3 linked regions of the Pelodiscus sinensis genome follow. The protein of the gene in region 1 interacts with the protein of each later gene in a biochemical or structural test. Links are inferred from orthologs where the notes say so. Each region holds a gene or a part of one and is shown on either strand. Other genes may lie near its edges.

The links. The genes of interacting proteins can lie anywhere in the genome.
Region 2: the proteins of ARHGEF16 (region 1) and TAX1BP3 form a complex in vitro, tested with the Homo sapiens proteins (2 studies listed by BioGRID and IntAct, with this or other methods). The link is inferred for Pelodiscus sinensis from reciprocal best matches to the Homo sapiens genes ARHGEF16 and TAX1BP3.
Region 3: the proteins of ARHGEF16 (region 1) and DLG1 interact in a test that uses a peptide from one of them, tested with the Homo sapiens proteins (2 studies listed by IntAct, with this or other methods). The link is inferred for Pelodiscus sinensis from reciprocal best matches to the Homo sapiens genes ARHGEF16 and DLG1.

Annotation. Positions count from the first base shown.
Region 1 is NC_134733.1:21,397,433-21,405,065, forward strand, and holds the start of ARHGEF16 (rho guanine nucleotide exchange factor 16), read left to right. Parts: upstream 1-4,624; 5' UTR 4,625-4,763; intron 4,764-5,836; exon of another isoform or gene 5,837-5,967; intron 5,968-7,633. UniProt on the Homo sapiens protein: Guanyl-nucleotide exchange factor of the RHOG GTPase stimulating the exchange of RHOG-associated GDP for GTP. May play a role in chemotactic cell migration by mediating the activation of RAC1 by EPHA2.
Region 2 is NC_134731.1:3,641,677-3,649,569, reverse strand, and holds the start of TAX1BP3 (tax1-binding protein 3), read right to left. Parts: upstream 3,005-7,893; 5' UTR 2,904-3,004; coding exon 2,865-2,903; intron 1-2,864. Other genes in the region: EMC6 (ER membrane protein complex subunit 6), read left to right, coding at 5,492-5,824. UniProt on the Homo sapiens protein: May regulate a number of protein-protein interactions by competing for PDZ domain binding sites. Binds CTNNB1 and may thereby act as an inhibitor of the Wnt signaling pathway. Competes with LIN7A for KCNJ4 binding, and thereby promotes KCNJ4 internalization.
Region 3 is NC_134720.1:55,448,061-55,454,904, reverse strand, and holds the start of DLG1 (disks large homolog 1), read right to left. Parts: upstream 3,005-6,844; 5' UTR 2,589-3,004; coding exon 2,570-2,588; intron 2,116-2,569; coding exon 1,984-2,115; intron 1-1,983. UniProt on the Homo sapiens protein: Essential multidomain scaffolding protein required for normal development. Recruits channels, receptors and signaling molecules to discrete plasma membrane domains in polarized cells.

The DNA.
Region 1 (7,633 bases):
GGCCACGAGGTGGAAGAGTGCCCCACCCAGCAGAGGTGTGGGGGTTACAGTGTCGTCCACTTTCCATTGCTGACCCAGCCCAGAGGACAACGTGCAGATCGGTACGTTAGTTTGCCACTTGTTAGTGTGACGGGGCAACCTCTGCATGTGTCCTACCTTGTCCGAGGGAGCTGCACTCCAGAGAAAGGGCACTCTGTCTCGGGCCATTTCTGGGGTCTCCGGCCATTTCTGGTCCCTTCTTGGAAATACGATGGAAAACCACTTTTCTTGTGCTAATTCGCGTGCAGAAATGACATACATCCGTCATGAGGCCTGGGCAGAGCCACCATGTCTGAGGGACGAGCCAAACTCTTCTGAGGTTTGGGATGTGCTTTGGATGTGGCTTCCGGCTAGGACTGGAGCCACCTGCTAAATTTGGCTCTGGACTTGAATATTTCTGCTATTCAGTGCTAAGGGTCTGGATCGAGCCCTCTTTGAACTGTATTTTTTTAAGCACCAGCTAGTTCTCATCAACAGCTCGATTCCTCGAAACCCATCAGTAGCTTGAAGTAGCTTCCTCCTTGCTTCTACCATTGAAGCTCTTCCATAGTTGAGAGACGGGTTGGGGAACCAGCCTTAGAAATGTGTGAACAAGATGAGCCCTGTTCTGCCATCTCCCTGCCCCCCGCCACCCTCGCCCAACAGAGCGATGACAGAGCCTCTGTCAACGGACTTGCCAATAGCTCCCTGTCTCGTGTGAAGGTCACTGCACAGAGATGTCCTGGAGAGAGCCCAACGGGAAGATTCCCCCCTTGCGCACTGGCACGATGTAATAGGTCAGGGGAACAATGAAGAACAGGATCAGCAATGAAGCGCGCGATTGTTCTGGGGAGGATTCACGCCCACGGCAAATTCCGTCGCAGGGCAATCCTCGAAGGCAGAGAAAATGCCCCTTATTATATCAGCTTGCACCCTGCGGGAGCAGATCTGTCAAGGTCAGCAACGCACGATGGGGGGAACTTCTAAAGCCCCGAAACCTGCCTGCTGCAGCCACCCAGGCGGTGAGCGAATGCTGATATCCTTCCGCTTGGCCCTGGAGAACCGGAGTTTATCTTTAGAGCTCAGGATTTCTGGCTCCCGGCCCTGAGCCAAATGAGAACCATGGAGATTTGGGGTTTTTTTTTTAAAAAACAAAACTCTATTGTTTTTTGCACAAAAAATGGCTCTCGATTCAGGTTAGGGATAAGTTTGAGGTGAAAGCGCAGCTCAGTTCTGATAGAATCCAGCCAAGTCAGCCAGGCCTGTTGATAGCGGGTGGGAGGAAGTAAAAGGGGCAGCTGTCCTGGGCCCGGTGATTCAAAAGCGCTCAGAGCGCCCCTCGCTGCTACTTCAATAGCAATGGCGGCCAGAGCCCAGGAGAGTAACCTCAAGCCCCGCCCCTTCAATCTGAGGCTCCGCCCCTTAAAGGAGCATAGAGCTGCCTTTCTCCCCTCCCCCCCGCCCGCTTTGCCCTGAGGCCTGGCATTTCTGTCAGCTTCCCTGCAATCAGAAAACAAGCTACAGAGGGTGTGGAGAACCCAGCGCTAGCTGGCGGCACTTGGCCATGGCGTGACGTAGTGGGGATTGTGTTTGCTCTGTTTGCTTTGTGAGGCTGGCTGTGATTCCTGCTGCCCTGCCCTGTTCCGTTGGGACCCTGGGTGTGTGCCTCAGTTTCCCTGGGCATTGCATGGGCACCCGGCTGGGGATGGGAATGTTGGATGCTGCTTTCGCTGAGGGGAGGCTGTTCCATGTCCACAACTATAGCTCAGGCTGTCTTGTAACCTGAGCTGAGGTGGGAAGCGCAACCAGGTGACACCTTGCCAGGGACTGCGGGGCTGGGACCAGTTGCTGGGTGTGAGAGTTACTCTCAGCTGGCGGAGGATGCAGGGAGGTGGCCCAGGGCGCCGGCTCTGCCCCCTCCTTCCCCCCACCCCAAGTTGGATTGTACTGGCTGCTCCCGGTTCCTGTGTCAACAACAAGTCTGTGCTACGCGGTGGCCCTGTCAATGAAGAAACCTTCTCTTCTACTTGCCGGCTGACAGTCCGTCTGACTGTGGATGTGGGGACAGGGCCTGGTGACTCCCCCGCACGCCGTGACTGACGGTACCTAGATCTGAGCGGTTTGCAGTGTCATTGTGGCTGTGCCGGTCCTCAAACATTAGAGACACAAAGCGGGGGAGGTGAATTGTTCCCTCTAAGCTGAGAATGTGGGAAAGTGCCCAGGAGAAATTCGAATGCCGCAGAGCGGATTAGCAGAGCACCCACAGCCGGCAGCGTGTGTGTCTCCTGGTGGTGCCCCTCTGCACATGGCTCGGTGCACAGAACAACATTTATTCTGCACACGGATGGAAAAAATGAGGGAGCCTGGGTGTGGTGATTTCTGTTATTGAACCAACTTCTCTCGGTGAGAGGGACGCACTGGCGAGCGGCAGGGGGGTTTAGGGACAGGCTCACGATACAGGGTTATGGAGACGGAAATGCCACGGGTCAGGTGGCCCAGAAGGCAGGTGTGTGGGGAAAAGCAGCAGAACCCGGGTTTGAAGGCAGCAGGGTTCCAAGCTGGGTTTCTATTTCTGGCACCTAGATGCGCTAGGGACGCGAGCCCCTAGAGAAGCAGGTACGGCCCAGCGGGGAACCGCAGTGAGATGGGGGCTGGTTTAAAGGGTGCTCTCCTGCTTGACGCTCCTCTAGGAGCACTGCTTCGGTACTACAGCCCTGGAATTGGCGCAGGGTGGGGGGGAGCCTATGGCCTGGGGGCCAGATCCAGCCCCCAGCTTGCCTGGATCTGGCCCCCCAGGCTTGGAGCTCCCCCCAGCTTTGGGGAGCTGGTTCTGGCACTCCAGCACCCTACTTCCCACCCAGCCCTCCCACCCTGAGTCTGCTCCTGCCACCTCCCACCCACCCAGACCTACCCACCCCCAACACACTCCTGGACCCTCCCTCCCGCCCAGCCCCCACACCACAAGCCTGCTTCCTGGCAGCCCCTCCCCCCCACTGAACCCCTCAGTTTTTGCCCCCGCCGGAGCCTGGGGCCCACAAAGTCCCCTAGCCTGCCCCCGCCAGGTTCTGAGGTGTGATGGGGAATGTGGGGAGGGTCTTTCTGCTTCTCACTCGGGGGCCACGTCAGTGAGGGGTTTTGGTTGGGGGGGGTGTCTCATTTGTCTGATTTTTCTTTGAGTCGGCGGCCCCCAACCAAAAACACGGTCGCCAGTGTCACGACAGGCTGCGAAAACCCACCGGGCCCCCTCTGCAACCCTGCCTGGCTGCCCCATGGCTAGCCCTCGGGGAGCTGGGCTGGGGCTGGAAAAAGACCCAGGGCCAGGCTGCCTCCGGGGGCTGCTGGGCACAACGGGGCTGCCTGGCTTCTGAGAGCGGGATCCCTCCAGCCGGCCGGCCAGGAGCGGTCTCGCGGCCTGCCACTAGGGAGCAGGTCTGCATCGCAGTTCTGTCTCTCTCTCCCCGCTGGGAGGCCATTGCCAATTCTTCCTCCCCGTGAAAGCCTCCTTCCCGTCTTGTGATGATTCGACTAGTGGCCTTCTAAGGAGAGGCTGCCTGCCTGGGACCCTTCAGGGAGGCTTGAGAGAGGGCAGCAGGCCTGAGAGGGAGGGAGGCAGAGGGAACCGGACACAGCAGCGGTGGGGGAGAGCTGCCTGGCTCTTAGGGAGAGACAAGCAACCGGAGCCATTTGGCCAAGAGCGGCAGGAGGACCCGGGTTGACTTAGGGATGTTAAATATCGGTTCATTGAATAGTCCATTAACCTCGTGAATTCTTATCGGTTACTCGACTATTCGATAGTCCCCAGGGGCGGGGCCGGCAGCCAGTGCGCTCTGGCCCCACTCCTGAGGAGCCCCCTGCCATGCCGCGGGGTACCAGGCGGGAGCTGGTCCATGAGGGGAGCCAGTTTAAAAACCAGCTGCCTGTTGCCCCGCACTGCTGCCTCGGATACAGCGCAGGGAGGTAGCAGCCCCTGTCCGGGAGGAGGGGGCAGTCTGAGCTCCTGGATCCAGCATGAGCCAGAACTGAGGCGGGTTGCCTGCCCGCCTGGCTGCTAATTCACTTTAAATGCAGAGCTGCAGCGAGGGTTGGTCCCGGACCCAGCGTGAGCCAGGACTGAGCTGGCCAGCCTGCTAAAAAACGTACTGGCAAGTGGGGTGGGGGGACGCGTGTAGTCTACAGCATTAACCGATAAGCATTAATCAGTTAATTGATTACACTATTCGGTCCCTAGGTTGGATGGGAGCTGAAACGGGCCTGGTGGTGAGAGCTGCTCGCGGCCGGGAATCCCGGCTGAGCAGACGCCTTGGGCGCTGGCGCCGGGGAGAAAGTGGAGGATCCGCGTTGGTGAGGGGAAGCTGAGCCTGGCAGTGAGAGGACGGCTTGGGAGAGCGGACCCCAGGAGCAGGGACGGGACTCCCCCACTACACACATTGTTCCAGCCCCCCCCCCCCCCCCCCCCGTGGGGAAATCTCTGCAGTGCAGAGCTGGGAGCAGCAGGGGGCAGACTTCCACTGCTATGGCCGCCCGGGCAGGGATGCAGCTGGAGTGGCGCCTGCAGGTTCTTTCAGGAGCTCTGCCCTCGGAGGACACTCCCTGGAACCGGATACACCCCTGCCCAGCACCTGGCTTGGTCTTTCTGCCTGGGTGAAGCCGGGCCGCACTGCCCCCCCTGGGAATTCGCCTTCTCCCTCCCTGCCGAGCAGCAAGAGCGATTTACGCTCAGTCCTAGGGAAGGAAAGGGTTAGCTGGTAAGCATTGCCTTCCCAACATACCTAGTGAACCAGGGCCCGGAGCAGCCCCTCAGCCGGGCCCACCATGCCTAGCTGTGGGGGGCGAGGGCTGCTCCAGCGCACACCCCCTCCCCCATCCATGGGGGGACAGGCAGTTAAGCCTGTACCCAGGTACCAGTTGACATGGGGTTTTGCGCCCCTACTCACTAGCGCGCAGGGGGATGAAGGAGACACTGGCGCAGCAGGGCACTGGGCATCGCACCCTCCACTCCGGCTGCTAGGAACAGGAGCAAACCTTGATTCAGTGTCACGCCCCATTCAGTTCCAATGCCGTCTAAGGCCCAAAGCCTGGGCCTGGCCAAGGCCAGCGCGGCCGCCTGTATTTCCACAAGGGGCAAGGCCATTCCCCACCCGCCACCCTACGATTTTACGGGACTTTCTCCCAAACTCCTGCTTCCCACGCTGCGGCCCGGCTGCAGCCAGGACTTTGCTCCGTGGCCACGGTGGGGGTCCCCTGGCCCTGCAGGGACGGCGGACGCACAAGGCCGGTCCTGGCACGGGAGGCTGGCGGCTGCCAGAGCCAACCCCCCTCTCAGAAATGGCTGAGGACTCGGGATGGGTTGTCCGGCTTCGGGTGACACACTTGGGGCCCGTCTTTGTCTCTGGGGTGGGCGCCTCCCCGGCCCCTATCGACACCTCTTCAGGCTTGTTTCGGCCCTGGAGAGAGAGGGGGCGACCCTAGGGGGGCACCCTAAAGCTCAGATTCCCTGATTCGGCCTCGCCAGCTGCGTTGGCTGCCAAGCCCGCGCCGCCCCACTTCGGGGGCACCCCCCATGCGGCCGCTGCTGTGGCAGGGAGCCATGGACCAGGCAGCCGTGGGGCGCAGCGGTCTGCGGCAGGCAGGGCAAAGGGCAGTTCCCCTGGGACCCCCATTTGAGGGGGGCCCCCAAACCTAGGGCGCCCAGAGGCTCCCAGCGCGGGGCTGCCCAGACGCGCAGCGCCGAGCACAGGCACGACCCCGGCTGCAGGGTACCCGGGCTGGCGGGGCCGGGCTGGCAGGTGGCGGCCCCACCCCCGGGGCGGGCCGAGCCGAGCCGAGCCGGGGTGGGGCTCCGCCGAGCGCTGCTCCCTGCCCGCCCGCAGCCGCCGCGCTCTGCCCGGGACGCACCTGCCCGGCGGCGATGGAGGCTCCGGGCCGCCGCTGACCTGGCTCGCCGCGCAGGTAGGAGGGGGGCGCCCGGCCGGGCAGGGGGCGCCGGGGCTGGGGCGGGGCCGCCTCCCTGCACGGCCCGGCCGGAGCAGCGAACACGGGGCCCCGCGTCCTGAGCTGCGCCGAGGGGTCCCCGCTTCCCCCGGCCCGGGGAGTGGTGCCGCCGGGGGCTCCCCGCCATGCGCTGGGCCCCCGGGCTGCGGCTGCTGCGGGCCCTCGGCGGGGTGGCAGGGGCCGTGCGGTGGGCTAGGGCCTGGGGGCCCCGCTGCCTCTGCATGGGGCAGGGTGGGGGGAGCCAGGGCTGGCCTTACCAGGAGGCGAACTGGGGGGGGCACCAGGACCCAGGGAAGTGAGACCTTCCAAAGTTTTGCCCAAGCGAGGGGGCGGGGGGGGGTCATTGGAGCGCCCCTCCTCAGGTGCCAAAATGTTGTGGGCCGGCCCTGGGGGAAGGGGCAGTTTGCTGGGGCACCCCCATTTGAGCGGGCCCCCAAACCAAGACCCCCCTCCCCCCCACTCCCTGGCACCAGGCAGGGTCCCCCAGGCCAAACCGGAGAGATGCTGTTATGGGCGCCCTCGCTGTACGTCCAAGCTACGTCCAAAACGCTTGGGCCTCTAGTGAAACAGGAAAGTGGGACTTCCCCCTCCCCCCACTTCCATTTGCACACATTGTTGTGTTGTTTGGGGTTTTGTGCGACCTAAGAGCGGGGCTGGGAGCACTTGGAAACGCGTCTGTTCCTCCCACTGTGGGCGACTTCAGTGCGGAGCAGGTGTATCCCGGGGAGACTTACGCCGGCGACGCCCTGTACCCTGGAAGGGCCTGGCCCTTGTGAAAAGTGTCCCGGGTGCCACTGCCCACGGATAGCACACTGTGCTGGGCCTTGGGAGCCCTGGGTTCGGTTCCTGGTTTTGCCTCTGCTTTGCAGGGTGACCTTTGGCAGGAGGGGACTTACCGGTTTCTAAACCAGAGAAAACAGAACTGAGGCTGCAAAGAGAGACGTGGGTGAAAAGTGCTCACTGAGAGCGAGGGGTGTTGCCTGCTCTTATCACTTTCCCTTTGGGTTCACACACTGTTTGCCCTGTCGCTCCGGAGTCACTCCTGGATGCTGAGAGTGTGCAATTGGGTAGACATTTGGAGCAGCGGATGGCTATTCTGCAGTGCTCTCAGGCTAGTTATGGTGTGCCGCGGTGTCACTTCCAGTGTGCCTGGTAAGCTGAGTGGGTGGCCACCCAGAAGAGATTCAAATGCTACCTAGCTGATTAGCAGAGTGCCCACAGCCGACAGCATGTGGTTCTATTAGTGGTGCACATTTGCGCATGTCTTGGTGCACATAAAATTTATTCTGCTCATGGGTGGAAAATTTAGAGGGAACACTGGTCGCTTTCTATCACCGCCTTGTCCCTGCTTTTGGGATATACTGGAAGTCTCTGCATCCTAAGCATACCTTTGTGTAAAACTTGAAAGCCCCTGCTTCCGTGCTGGTAGCCACAAAACTGGGAGAGGCTGGAGAATTACCAGAGAAACCTGCTAAAATCTTTGGCAAAGCCCTTTGGGTGTGTTTATAGCCGTGTTTGTGTAGAGCATCCACTCAGGTTTTTGTAGAACTCTGCTTGATATTGGCTTTCGCCATCGCCCGTTCTCAGAGTGGCAGGTTTCCTGAGCTCTGGGAACAGCAGCGTG
Region 2 (7,893 bases), on another chromosome or scaffold:
AACTTTAAAACTGAATCAATTATTAGGATGCCCTGCCCTTCAGCAGTAACTGAGAAGCATCTTTTGTCCTTGTTAGCAAGCCACAACAGAAATAAGCATCTCCAATCATATCCCTAAATGACTAGCCACTTAGGCATCTAAAGAAGTTTAATCTCTACAACCACAATGGAAATGAAGGGAGGGAGGGATTTTAAAACGTTGTATGAGTAACAGCAGAGGAACTCTTAGTAAGGAAGTCTTACCCAGAACCTTGTCCAGCAAGGGCCTCTTCAGTCTTTCCTCTTGAATTAAGCCCAGATTCTCTCCTCCTCCCACCCCGCCCCGGCTACAAACTGCTCTACCAAACCAATATTTGTGCACTCTGCTGCGTGACCTACTTTCACCAAAATTATTAGATTTATCATATATGTCACCAGGAAGCCTGGTTTAAGTGTGATTTTTAATTTGAAGTGAGTTGCTCTGCAATCTTCACCAAGGAAAGTAGTTCACATGTTAGCACATTTTAATTTCATAGACTCAAGTGTGACCAACTATTGTTACTATGCCTTTTAATACCTGTAATAATAGAAATCAATAATAAAATCAAACTCAAGGACTGAATTCTCAAAAGTTTGCTTAGTGTCTAATTTTTCACAAGGAATATCTCTAGTTAAGCACGAAGCATTTTAAATCTACTTCACAAGTCTAGAATAGCTTAAGAAGATGCTAGTCCAACCTTTTAAAGACCACCATGTAGCCCTGTATAGAGGAGGACATAACGGTCAATAATGCCCCATGCTATCGGATTGACACTTTATACTGTACTGAGATTAGAAACTGTTAGAAACTGTTATATCCCCTGCTCAGGGGCATATTCTGCCATGCGAGATATTCTAAAATCTCCTCCAGGTACATATTGGATATGGTAACTAGCTTTCCCTTCCGACAGTAATTCCTGGAAAGAAAGCATGGGGGTAGGGGTGTAATTAGAGGCTACATGAAAGATATTTCAAGTCTCTAAATTTTCTTCCCTCAGGTTTGCCTTTTTCCATTCATCAGAATGCTTCCTTGCTCAAGTTAGCTCATTTGTCATACAAGAGGGAGGTGTCTGTAACTTAGCCAAGTAAACAGTCTCATTTTAACTGAAGAGTAAGACTCCACATGAGCTCATTGGAAATACTGACAACTTCCACAGACAAACTACAAATTTGCAGCCGAGCATACAAAAAGTCAGACAAGGAACAGACTCCAGGCTGGCAGCCAAACAAGCGGATGGCAGCAGCTTTGATATCGTTTTATGTCATCTTCCACACTGGAATTGGCTCAGAGGCAGGTTGTTGAGAACAAGGCTCAAAGGAACAGCATGCAGTCACATGGCATTTTTATTGAGTATGTGTCTGGGATGGGTATTTTAAGGCACCACAATGTAAGCCAAACAAGGACATTCTTGGTTTTTATTAACTATAGCTGAGATTCCAATCAAGAAAACCTATGTTCCTTGAACAGCATGATGTGCAGGGGTTTTACCCACAGGAAAAGTGGCTCATTGTAATTCTGAGCCATTATCTTCTATCCCAGAAAGCACCTTAACAGAAGGCAACATCTGGCAAGCTAAACAGTGAGCACTTTCCATCAAAATCACAATGGTTTTCAAAGAAAAATACTGTTAGAGAGGTCGGACATCTGAGAAGTCCTCTGATAAGTGGCAAGTTGATTATGCGTCTTAATCAAAGCACAACACATACCATGATCCCAGTTTGGGCTCAGGCTGCCTGGCATGGCAGGAGATGTCAGAAGTCTGACTTCATTTGACAATCACTTGGCTGGACAGATAGTGCTCACCACATGGATATGCGGCAAGTTTTCACCTCTACACTTACAGGGTACATTTTCCCAGACTATTTTGTAGTCACCATATAGCCTCTAGTTCTTTGTTCTTATATGACTTTAGGCCTTTTGCAAAAAAAAGGGAGGAGGGCGGGGGAGTTGTTTCTCACTTTTCCGTTTTCTCATCCCTTCAATATAGCTACTGAAAAGTAGCATGCATGCCTACAATCCTATACTCATCCGAAAGGTAACCATAAGCAACTCGTGGACACAGCATAATCCATTAGCTCATGACCGGAGAGACAGGACAGGGAGCTTCTGTTCCCTATTCTACCACTGACCCTGGGCAAGTCAGAGCACATCATACTCCAGTTTTCCTGAGTGTCCAGAAGGGTTAGCGACCGTACAATAGTTCTGTACAAAAGTGGTAAGAAAAATGGAATAGCCGAAAACATACCGTATTTAAACACACAAAGGGGGAGCTAAGTCATGCCATCCCTTCAGACCCGCACAACGAAAAGGTGCAATTTTCACCCCCCCCCCCCCTCTGATTCGTTTGCCTCGGGGCAGATGTTTCAAATTCTGTTTTACCCCCGTAGCAGGGTGCGCGGGGCAGGTGCATCAAGGCGGGGGGGGGGGGTTGCAGTGACAAGACGCAGAACTAGAGGGGTCGGGGAGGGCGGGGGCGCTGGGGGGGCTCTGCGGGGGAGGGGGCTCCAAGAAGAGGCATTTATCGGGGGCGGACACGAGCGGGTTTCCCCGCGGAGAGAAGGGGCTTGGCCCCGGGCAGAGGGGGGCCCGCGGGCAGGACCCCCCCGACGGTCGCGCTGGACGGACTGACGGAGACAGGCCGACCCGCGGGGGGGGGGCTGCTTTGCTGGCAGCAGAGCGCGGGGGGGGGGGGACAGTCCCCCGCCCCCTTGCCCCCTCCCGCTGGTACCGGCGGCGGAACACGCCCCCCCCCCCCCCCGGGCGCCCTGAGGAGAGAGCCGAGCCCCGCCCTCAGCCCCGCGAGCCGAGCCCAGCGCGGACCGACCGGCCGCCCCTCCCCCACTCACCACCACGGCGGTGACCGGCTGCCCCGGGATGTACGACATGGCCCCGCCGGCAGCTCGCGCCCCACTCGCCAACAAAAGCGCCCGGCGGCCCCGCTAATCGGGGGCGGCGCCTCAGGCCGTGGGAGCGGGCGGCGCATGCGCAGCCGCAGCGACACCTGGGCTGGGCGGGGGTGGAGGGAGCGGCGCGCGCGGCGTTTCCCGGCAGCCTCGGTTCCAAGATGGCGGCCGGTAGCGACGGGTGAGCGGCGGCGGTTACCTCAGGGCGGGAGGTTAGTGACCCCCCCCCCCCTCCCCGCTGTGGGGCCTGGCGCTTCTCGGGCCCCAGCCGGAGCCTGCCCCCCAGGCCGCCCGCCCCTAGGGCGCTGCCGGGGGGGGGGAGAGAAACTTCCAAATCCCGCCCCGCCCGACGGGTCTCAGACGTTATCCCCGTGGGGAGGGCTCCCCCCGCCCAACGCGGCCTTCCCACGGACCGCCAGCCAGCCGTGGGCACCACGTGGGGGCGGGGGGGGAGCAGAGTGGGGGGGGTGCAGGAGATCGGGGGGGGGCTGCTTGCCTGGTTCGGTGCCTCCTGCCACTCTCAGGCACCCGCCCCTGCTGCTCCCATTGACTGTGATTCGGCCAATGGGAGCACTGGGGAAAGCCCCCAGCCAGGGAAAGGGGGAGCAGCAGCGCACAGAGCTGCGTCCTTCCCTCGCCAGCCAGCACTGGTGTGCCAGCCTTGTGGGGGTGGAGTAACAGTTCCCCACTGCAGGGGGGTAGTGAGCCCCAACTCCGAGACCCACCTGCAAGATAATGACAGACCACACTGACATATGGATTTAAATCTTTTATTGGTACTTTGTAAAACGTGATTACAGTTTAACCGATTTTTCTTTTGCAGAAAAGCTACATTTGGGGAGTAAAGTGCTTGACCAAATCCCTTTTGTTCTGATTGCAATCAACCTCAGGTAATTACATTGTGAGGCCCTCCAGATTTCTCAGAAGCTTCAGTTAAGCACAACGCATTTTGCTTTCAGTCCTGAGCTCTTACACAGTGTTGCTGTTGAAGAGCTGTCATGTTTTATCCTAACATTCATGTATTACGCTGTGGAAGAGAGTGTTTAGAATTATACCTATTTCAAGGGACCATTCAAAGTGAAGTGGCCGGTAAGCATTCAGTGCTCTAGAAGAAATCTATTCCATGCTGGTATAAGCATGTGTAGGATCCATGGTGGTTTCCTATACTAGCAAAGGATATACCTCTTCTAGAGCACTGAATGCTGACAAGCCCGGTATCTAGTTATTTTGAGTGGAGAAAGGGTTCTTTAAAGCACTCTGAAATCATTGTTTGAAAAAGGCTATAGAATTGCCAGTGTTTTAATGCAGTGTGCAAATTACATGAAGCTAATTGGGTCCTGTAGTGTTTAGATACTTCCTCCTTGGATTTAATTACAACCTCAGAATTTAGGTAGATAAGTAGAAGTGGCTAGAAATGTGAATGGTTAACCACATGTAACCATTTAGAGGGGCACTCCAGCCCAGGGGAATGGTCCTCATTTGGGAAGGCTCTGCCTGGCTGGAGCATTGCAATAGGGGCAGGCCCAGAGCAGCCTCCACCCCTGTTTAAGCCATTAACCAGTTAGACATAATGTTTAACCCATTAACTCAGGTTCTCAAACTTTGTGATACTGCGACCCTCCCCCCTTAAGTTGCTTTCAACCCCCCAGGGGGGTCAGGACCCACAGTTTGAGAAATGTGGGGTTAACTGATTAAACAGGATTTTACATCCTTAGAGGCAGCATTGTTGAACAGAATGATAGAAATGTAAATGTAAATAAGAAATTTTACTCAAACTCTTATTAATGATACAAAATGGAGGATGTGAAAAAGTTTGCTATTAGAACTACATGGATGAGGAAAATGCCATATAGAGCTAAGTAACCTCATTATAAATTGGGCTTGCACATCTTATACTGGAAGGATACATTCTATTTTTTCAGACTTAATAAAGCTGGCCTAAATTTTTCTTCTTGTAACAAATTTATGTGCTGTAGCCATACAGTAGTGAGATTGGTTCAGTTTTGTTTATATATGTGGTGCAAATGACAGTAAAGGGCTCTAAGTAGAGACAATCTTACCTGATTAAATCAAGTTAATTTTATATTTGCATAGAATTGAAGAGTAAACTACATTATTTATTTGAATGTTTTAGTAACTCTTTAAATACCAGCAGTTATAACAGCTAGTAGATATGTGACTAGTTCCTTAATTTATTGTAGTTATTCAAAGACCACCACTTATTTTTAATAAGAGATAACTGGGAATACAGTGTTTTTTTTCCCCCAAAGGGCATGAAAAATATTCTGCTGAATGCATTGATGTAAGGCCTGACATTACCATATGTTGAAAAGATTATAGGAACTATCAGTTTACTGATGGTGATTTGTGCTAAGGTCATCAATTTCCAAGTAGCAGTGCATTTTTCATTATTTCAGTTCCTGTTGTTAGTTATTGACAGGAGGGAAAAGAATGGTTCCATCCCATCATCCTAAGTAAAATGAAATAAAACTGACTTAGTACAGTAGTTTTTTCTCTCCTTTGACCTAGTCTTGTTGGGAGAAAAAGATCCTTGACTCCAAACCGGAGCAATGGCTACAATGGTGGCCAAGCGAGAAGGACCTCAGTTCATCAGCGAAGGAGCAGTCCGAGGGAATGCAGCCATTCTGGATTATTGCAGGACGTCAGTTTCTGCCTTGTCAGGAGCAACAGCAGGAATTCTTGGTCTGACTGGTTTACATGGCTTTATCTTCTACTTCTTGGCTTCTGTCCTTCTCTCCATGCTTTTGGTATTGAAAGCTGGACGGCGGTGGAATAAGTACTTTAAATCCCGAAGGCCACTTTTCACTGGGGGGCTTATCGGTGGCCTCTTCACATATGTTCTCTTCTGGACCTTCCTCTATGGCATGGTGCATGTCTACTAAAATAGTAACCACTTCAACTGCAGTGGTTTTAAAAGAAATAGGACTGTTGCCAAAAACTCATCTAAACAACTATGCCAGCTTTTTACGTTGTTGTTCACTGCTTGTATTCTTAAGGCTGTCAGTAACTTATGTCTGAGTACAAAGTTCTGTAGTATTTGTCTAATTACATGTAAAATGTCTTATGAAAGAGTCACTTAAATTCTCATATACATATAAATAGCCTATCACTGGCAAGGTGGCATTTTCCACCTTTATTACAACTGTATCAATCATTCTTGGCTGACTGTGTTCCTTTTACATTCTGCATCTGTAATATCAGAAACAGCTCTATTTTATTTGTGTTCCTACTATGTTACTGTTTGCACCAGCATACAAGCATTGGTAAAGAGTATATTTAACCATAAGCTTAATGCAACAAAACCTGAAAGGAAATAGACACAAAAATGGTTTCACAGTAATATATAATTAAAGGTACATGAAACTCTGGACAGAAGTATCTTATTTGTCTGGCTCATAAGTGCTGTGATCCTTCACATTGGGTACAGTCCATTTTACAAAAGGAAATTAAAGTTAATAAAACATTTCAGTCTCTTCCATGCATTGACTTTGCAAAGCATACATTTTAGTGGTAGATATCAAAGGCAATAAGTAGCACCATCATGAATCACTGTTCTGGGGTTTTAGCAGTTTGCACAATACTTTCCAATGAAATATTATACTATCCCAAAGGCAACCACAGTATCCTAGGAATCTGTCAGTTATATCTAATGTGAACAACCTACTGCCAGACATTTGAAATAGACTCACTATTCATATTTCCCTAAACATCCAATGCATTCATTTTCTGCAGGACAGACTAAGCTGTAAACTGCAGCTTTCAGCTACAGGATGGACCTTACAGTCCCTCACCAGTTTTTTTTTTTTAAGTGAGTATATCGTCTCTACGCTTGTATGGTGACAGGGCTCTAAAGCATACTTTCTATATATAGCAGTTTTTTCCATACAAAGAGAAAGTCAGATCAATAGCATTTTTACAGTTCACCTATTCTGAAGCATAAATTACTAACCAGTGGCATGGAACATTCACTGTAAAACATTCTCACTTATGCTTTAAAATGCCTTTTTTTAAAGTATTCTATCCATTTTTAAACTTCATTTAATAGTGAAACAAACTAGTTATATAGGAAAGAGGGAGACTGATGATACTATAGTCTGCCATGCTATATATTTACAATGAATTTACATTTGGTCACCTGCAAAATAACATGGTCTAGTTATTTCTGTCAGAACTGTTTTTCAGTATTGAGTCATGCATCTTTTAAACGTGAGCACTTTAGTTATGCTTAGATGGGCATCTTATTAAGAGATGTGTATTGTTCAAAAGCTGTGTGTTTTTAAAACAAAATGCATTACAGTCAGTCCCCGGGTTACGTACAAGATAGGGACTATAGGTTTGTTCTTAAGTTGAATCTGTATGTAAGTCGGAACTGGCATCCAGATTCAGCCGCTGCTGAAACTGACCAGCGGCTGACTACAGCAAGCCCGAGGCAGAGTTGCTGTGCCCTGGGCTTCGTGGAATCAGCCGCTGATCAGTTTCAGCAGCTGCTGACTTGGAGACGCCTGGGGCAGAGCAGCTGGGGTGCTGCTGGGTTGGTCCAGTAGCGCCCAGAGCAGCGCTGCAGGACCAACTGGCAGTGCCCCAGCTGCTCTACCACAGGAGTCCGGAGAAAAGCCTGGTCTGCTGGGAGGGGGGGGGGCACTAGTTGCGCCCCCCCCCCCCCCGCAGACCAAGATGCGGGTGGCAGACCGAGACGTACCACGGTCCCGCCGCCCGGGTCCTCCGCGGCTTTGCTCCGTGTCTCCCTGGTCTGCTGGAGACAGCAGACCAGGGAGACGGGGAGCAAAGACAGCCGCGGCGTGTCTGGGCTTTCCCGCTGCCCGCGTGCTCCGCGGCTTTGCTCAGCATCTCCCTGGTCTGCTGGGGGGCTTACATAAGTCGGATCCACGTAACTCGGGGACTGCCTGTACTTAAAAAGAGGAAATGGCATGTGTATGGTTAATCACCATTA
Region 3 (6,844 bases), on another chromosome or scaffold:
AGATTAGGTACTTTAGAACTCACCACTCAAAGAATTAAATGTAAATGTATGAGAAATGAAAATGATGAAATGCACAGACCAGTCAAAATCCAAAACTAACCCACTTTGCAAGCAGTAAAAGAAGTAACAACCTCCCACATGTGTTAGGTCGGGAGAGGAGAGTGAAGGACAGTGTGTTTGTGAAAATGACAGACACACACACAGTGTGTGAGAGTTACAGCGATTTGCACTGCCAAGCTCCCTCCATTCCCTTCTCTCTGTGTGGAGATGGGGTACGGGGGGGGGGGGAAGGAGGACACTCTGACATCAGCACCCCCCTTTACCCAACACCTTGCACAGCAAGCAGGAGGCTCCCAGGGGGCAGCTCCCAGGCAGAGGTCAGGAGCAGTATGACAGAGGGTGGAGGGGCAGGGCAGTTCAACTGCTGGCACGCGATAGCTTCCTGACCAAACCAGTCAGGATCACCTGTCAGAGGCGCTGTGGCGGGGAAACCGCTCCCCGCACTTATGTCCGCTGTCCGGCAGCTCCCAACCCTACAGGCGCCGCCGCCGCCTCTGCGAGCGGGGCACCAGCAGCACATGCGCAGCAGGGGGCAGGCCGCAAGCGGCAGACTCTAGAGCCCAGGGACGCCAGCACGCCAATGGGGCGGGGGCGGGACGCCGGGCCACACGCCCAAAAGGAGGAGGGCTGGGAGGAGCATGGGGGAGGAGAGCAGGGTCTGGCTGTGCTCTCACCTCCCACAGGTGGAGAGCTCGAGGGGCGGCGAGCGCCCGGGACGGCAGACACCAGAGAGGAGTGGGCCAGCGGCAAAGGAATGCCTCTGGGGGGGCCCAGGAGCAACGCAGCCCCCGGCAGATGGGCCGGCCGAGCCCAATTGTTGACAGCCCGAGGAACAGAGCGGGGAACGGACAAGCCAACGGGCCAGCTGAGACTGTAAAGCGGCCGCCATGCAGCAGCAGGGACACAGAGGGAGAGAGAGAGAGAGAGAGACTGAAGGCGGGGGTCAGCTGGGCTGGACTGGACAGAGCTTGACCCCGCTACAGGCTCCAAGATCTACTGGTAGATCCTGAGCTACTGGTTGGTGACCACTGCCCTAAACTCTTCTCCCCCTCCCCCCAGGCCTTGGCCACAGAGCCAGAGGATGGGGTGGGAGGGGAGACAAAGGGTCCCAGTAAGCGTGATGCTTAGCGAGTAATCGGTTACCCATTGACATCCTTATCCTGAAAGACCCACGCAACTCCTGGTAAGTCTTTTTGTATATCTATATAATCACCCCAAACCCAAAGCTTCCAAAAAGATGCTGAGGTGATAAATTTTTAAGTAGCTGATGCCATACAATATCTTCCTATCCAAGTACAAACAGATGAACAGAAGTATGGGCACTTTCAGCCCACTCAAATAGCACTGAGACTCCAGTCGACAGGTAATTTTTTTTCCCCTCCTTCTCCTATCTTATTCTGAATCCCCCCCCCCCCATTTTTCTTCCACTCAATCTCATCTGAAGAAGTGGGTTTTGCCCACTAAAGCTCATTACCATATATATATATATTTTTGTTAGCCTCTAAAGTGCCACATGACTACTCGTATTTCAAGTTGCAGACTAACACGGCTCCCCCTCCGTGGATTTTAAACATGCAAGGCACTACATTCAGCTGTCTGAAGTGGAAATCCATCAACTGCATAAGACAATTCACAGGGATCCAAACAGACATCATCTTCCTAGCCAAGTGCAAACAGAAGAACTGAAGTATGTGACACTTCCAGCTGACTCAGTTAGCCTCATTAGCACTCTAAGGTGCCACAGGACTACTCATTGTTTTTAAAAATTACAAACTAACACGACTACCCCTCAGACTTTCAAGTATTTGGAGACCTCACTTGTTAATACCCTCAAGTGAAAAGCTGAGTGTTTTTACTTTAAAAAAAATTTTAGATGATTTTGCACAAAAAAATTTTTTTTTAAAAAAAAATGTAGACATCTACCTATCAATGCCTGGAAAAGGTTGCTCTGGAAGATATTAATGACACGCTCTATGGAGTTTCTCAGCTGTCTGTCCTCATTTTGGCTCAATTTAGAGCGGTATTCCTCCAGGAGATACAGAGCCCGCTGGGTATCTGCAAATAAAAACAAAACAAAAAGTTAGAATTAAACATCACCATGAGGGGAGAGATAGCAGCTGCCCAATAGTGGTCAGTACAGTAGTTCTTGATATCACACGCTCGATACGCCACTTTCAAGAACTCTACCCAATTCATCACGAGTTCCTGACTCCCCGCTCCTGCTGCAGGTTCTTCCCCAAGAGGCAGGTGTCTCCAAGGCGGTTTTACGCGCCCACGGACACACGACGCTGCAGCTCCAGAGCCACCCGCCCCCGAGCGGACTCGTCCGCCGAGCGAGCTCAGCAACAAGCAGCCCGCTGCGAACTCCGCAGACACTGGGGGAGGCGCCGAGTCCCCGCGGCTGACCCCGCTCTCGGCACAAGCCGGGCCGCGCCGCGCGCGCAGGGTGACGGTTTCTCCCACCGAGGCGGTTTAACCGCCGCTTCGGTCCGCGCGGCGCGGCTCTCACCTTGCTTCCGGACGGGCATGGTGCGCCGCGCGCCGCTGGACTCGGGCGGGACGCGCCCTGTCGCCGCCCTCCCGAACTTCGCGCGGGGCACGGGCCGGCAGCCGGAGCGGAGCGGCGGGGGGCGCGCTGCTCGCTCCTGCCGGGCTCGGAGGGGCCTTGCCCCGCGCTCGAGGGCAGGACGGACCCGGACCCCGGGGTCCGGAGCGGGGCCGGGACGGGGCGGGGCAGCCCCCTCGGAGCTCGGGCGGGCGTCGCCAGGCAGCTCCGCCCTGGGAGCCGGCCGGGGGCCCGGGGCTCGCGCGCCCGACACTGCCGCGCGGCGGGGGCTGCTCGCGCGCTCCCTCCCGCCGCCTCCGCTGGAAATTCCAAACTTTCCAGCCAAAATGGCGGCCCAGCGGCTGTGGAGAGAGCAGCCCCCACGTGACCGAGCCCAGCGGCGGCCCAATCAGGAGTCAGCTCGGCTCGGGGCTGGTACCTAGTGGGGCAGGCAAGGTGAGCACTCGGCCGCTTAAAGGCGCCGTGGCCTGGGGAGCCGGCAGGGCCAGGAGCACGTGGGAGGCCCCGAACCAATGGACACGCCTCTCGCCAGGGGGCGTGGCAGTAGCTATGGGGGGCAGGCCTGCTGGGGCAGCTGCCCCACCCTGGCACCCAGACCTGGCTCACTACTCTGCCCTGCAGGCTTGTTGCGCAAGAGAACGGCCGCACCGCGCCTACATCTACATTGGCAAGACTTTGCGCAAATACCTTTAGCGCAAGAGTTTTTGCGTTAAAGTATTTGCACAGGAGAGCGTCTACACTGGCATGTGCCTTTGTGCAAGAGATGTGCTTTTGCCCAAAAGCATCCATGCCAGTGTAGATGCTCGCTTGCGCAAGAAAGCTCCAATGGCCATTTTAGCCAGCGGGCTTTCTTGTGCAAGCAATTCATGCCTGTCTACACTGGCCTCTTGCGCAAGAACACTTGTGCAAGAGGGCTTATTCCTGAGCGGGAGCGTCACAGTTCTTGCGCAAGAAGCGCTGATTTCTTACATTAGAACGTTAGTGTTCTTGCGGAAGAACTCACAGCCAGTGTAGACAGGCGGCAAGTTTTTGTGCAAAAGTGACTGCATCTTGCCAATGTAGACACAGCCTGCGTGTGCTTTTGCACAAGAGAAAAGATCCACACTGTGTGGACGGTCTTGTGCAAGAAAGGCTACCTGGAATCACTTCAGGCAGGGTAGAAGATCACCAGTTGCTTGGGAGTGTTTTCTGTAATGCTACTTCCTAGGCAATCACAACAACAGCCACACTGGGTCAGTCCAAAGGTCCATCTAGCACAGTATAATGTCTTCTGACAGTGGCCAATACCAGATGCTCCAGAGGGAATGAATACAACAGGTAATCAAGTGATCCATCCCCTGATACCCATTCTCAATTTCTGACAAACAGTGACTAGGGACACCATTCCTACCTATGCTGGCTAATAGCCATTAATGGACCTAACCTTCATCAATGTACTTAGCTTTTTTTTCAACCATGTTATAGTTTTGTACCTCACGACATCCTCTGGCAAGGAGCTCCACAGGTTGACTGTGCTGTGTTTTGTGAAGTACTTCCTTTTGTTTATTTTAAACCTACTTCCTATTGTAATTTCATTCGGTGATCCCTACTCTTTGTGTTATTTCAATATTGTTCATTTTAAATACTATAAATGACTATCTTAGAAAATAATTTTGTTAAAGATTTTACATGGGAATGTCACCTGCTTAATCACAGTCAAATTATAATCATGCTTTGTTAATTCTGAAGCAGCCCTGTAGATTAGCATGCCTGTGGCAATAATAGGCTATTTAAATTTTTTTATAGATTCCATCAGTTCTGCACATTATATTTTCAGATTGGCTCGAGACTTAGGACGTCTAGTGGTCAACATGCATGAAGAGATCAAAATTACACTGTAGCAGACTGACACTAGTGCCATATTTTGTAATTGACTTGTAAGATACAGCATTTTGTAAAATGAATGGGTCAAATTTCATACAGCTTTACAGCACTGTTTTTGGTATTCATGATGTGATAGTGTAAACAATTAAAAACATAAGAACAACCATACTGGGTCAGACCAAAGATCCAGCTAGCCCAGTATCTGCTCACAGTGGCCAATACCCCAGAGGGAAGGAACACAACAGGTAATCCTCACATGATCCATCTCCATTTCCAGACAGTTAACCGATGAGCTCCCTGCCAGCAGATGCTTCAGGTAAATAAAACATCCCAGCATGCCAGCAGCTTATCCTGATGGGCCAGGAACCAAAGTTTGCCAATCCCTGAAATACAGGATTGGCTTGTGAAAGGGTCATAGTATTTTGCCATTTTTACTTATCAATCTCAGGAGGTCAGCTTGTAAATGAACAGGCTGATGAAAGAGTTTATATAATAAGGTGCTTAAAACCAGCATTTTTCTTCTGCATACCAAACTTTCAAAGTTGTATTAAAAGTCAATGTTCAGTTTTAAGCTTTTGAAAGTGCCATGTGTTATTCAGAGTCACAAACAACTTCCATTCTAAGGTGTTCACCCCTCTGAGTTTTTACTAATACATGGGGACTAGAAATGTAATAGAAGAGTTTTATTGTGCGAAAGCCAAACAAGTTGTACAAAATAAACATAAGCAATCCGCAGCGGAAGAGTGGGTTACAGCAGTAACAAGAACTGTAGGTGGCTTACAAGCAATCGACATAACCCACCTTGTCCCGGATACAAGTGAGGAAGTGATTAAACTATAGTCCATACACAACCCCAGGGGCACCCCACCCCTTCACTCGTGAAGCAGAATAGAATCTCTGTCTCTGAGTGTAGACTCTATATCAATGGGTGGAGTTTGCCCCACTGGGTGGATCACTCCTTACTACAGAGCTCTTCAATCCAGAAGGCAAAGATTTAACACAATCAATTCCTAAATTAAAGCTAGATACATTCAGACTGCAAATAAGATGTCATCTTTTTAACAATGATGGTAATTCACTATTAGAACATCTTGGGTTTTCCATCACTGGCTATTTTTAAATCAAGATTGGATATTTTTCTGAACCATCTGCTCTAGGAATTTTTGGAGATGCTTTGTGACCTCTGTTATATAGGAAGTCAGATTAGATGATCACATTGGTCCCTTCTGGCCTTGAAATCTATGAATCTACAATACCAGGAGGAACATGCATGCAGGAAAAGGAAGAACAGATGCTGATGAATAGTGCTGGGGGGGGGAAATCAATGCTAAAGCCAACATGATGGATCAACAAACTAGGACGCAATTATTCAAACCACATTGCACCTGAGAAAGTATTGCTAAGTTCCCATCATTTCTATTTCTTCTGTAGGAATAGACTGATAGGGTAAAGTGATGCCAGTGTTTCTAGGAGTAACTAGAACATGAAGAGAAAATCTTCAAGAAAGGAAGAGTGAAATTTTATTAGCATGGTTCGAGTGGAATTCTATGCTGTGCCCTTTAGAGGTGCAGTGCAGAATTCAGTCAGAGGGAGAGAGAATGAGGTGGCTTTAACTAAGCCACACCTTTGCAGCCCCCTTCCACCAGTTCTGGGTTGTTTCTGGGGCTGAAGATACTGTAATTTAGATACCTCTGAGGACTTCTCTAAGTTAAGCCACCTCATAGGGCAAGAATCTCTGCAGTGCTATGACCCTATTTCTGACACACCGTCTCATCCCAGGCCTATACACTATGCCACGGCTTGCACGCAGTTCTTAAGGATGCTTTGTGGCTATCTTCCATAGATACTAAGTTACTTAACATGACACAGTCCACTATTTTATAGAAATGGTCAACATTCATTGCATCCAGACATATGATCTTACTTTTGCGTGTATTAAAACACATTTTGTTTCAATAAAAGCAGATTCCCACGCAATCCAAATTGCTTGGCATGACCACTTCATCACGCTTTGCGTCATCTGTAAATTTAATCAACAGTGATTTTAAATTTATGTGATGATCACTAACAAAAATAGTAAATAACATTGAGGTTAGTACCACTAAAAATATCACCCATTTGACAATGGTTTTCTATGGATTTTTACTATTTGTTTATTGAGATTGTATAGTGCTGACTTCTTCGAGGAGTATCCCGGTGGGTGCTCCACCTTTATCTTGAGGTGCCACTGCGCGCCTACTTGGAGATTTACAGTAGCAGTGCCTTCTGGTGAGCCGCACAAACGGGACAGGCGGCACGCATGGTGTCGCTGCCACGCATGTGCGGCAACAGTCCCTTCAGTTCCTTCTCTACTGC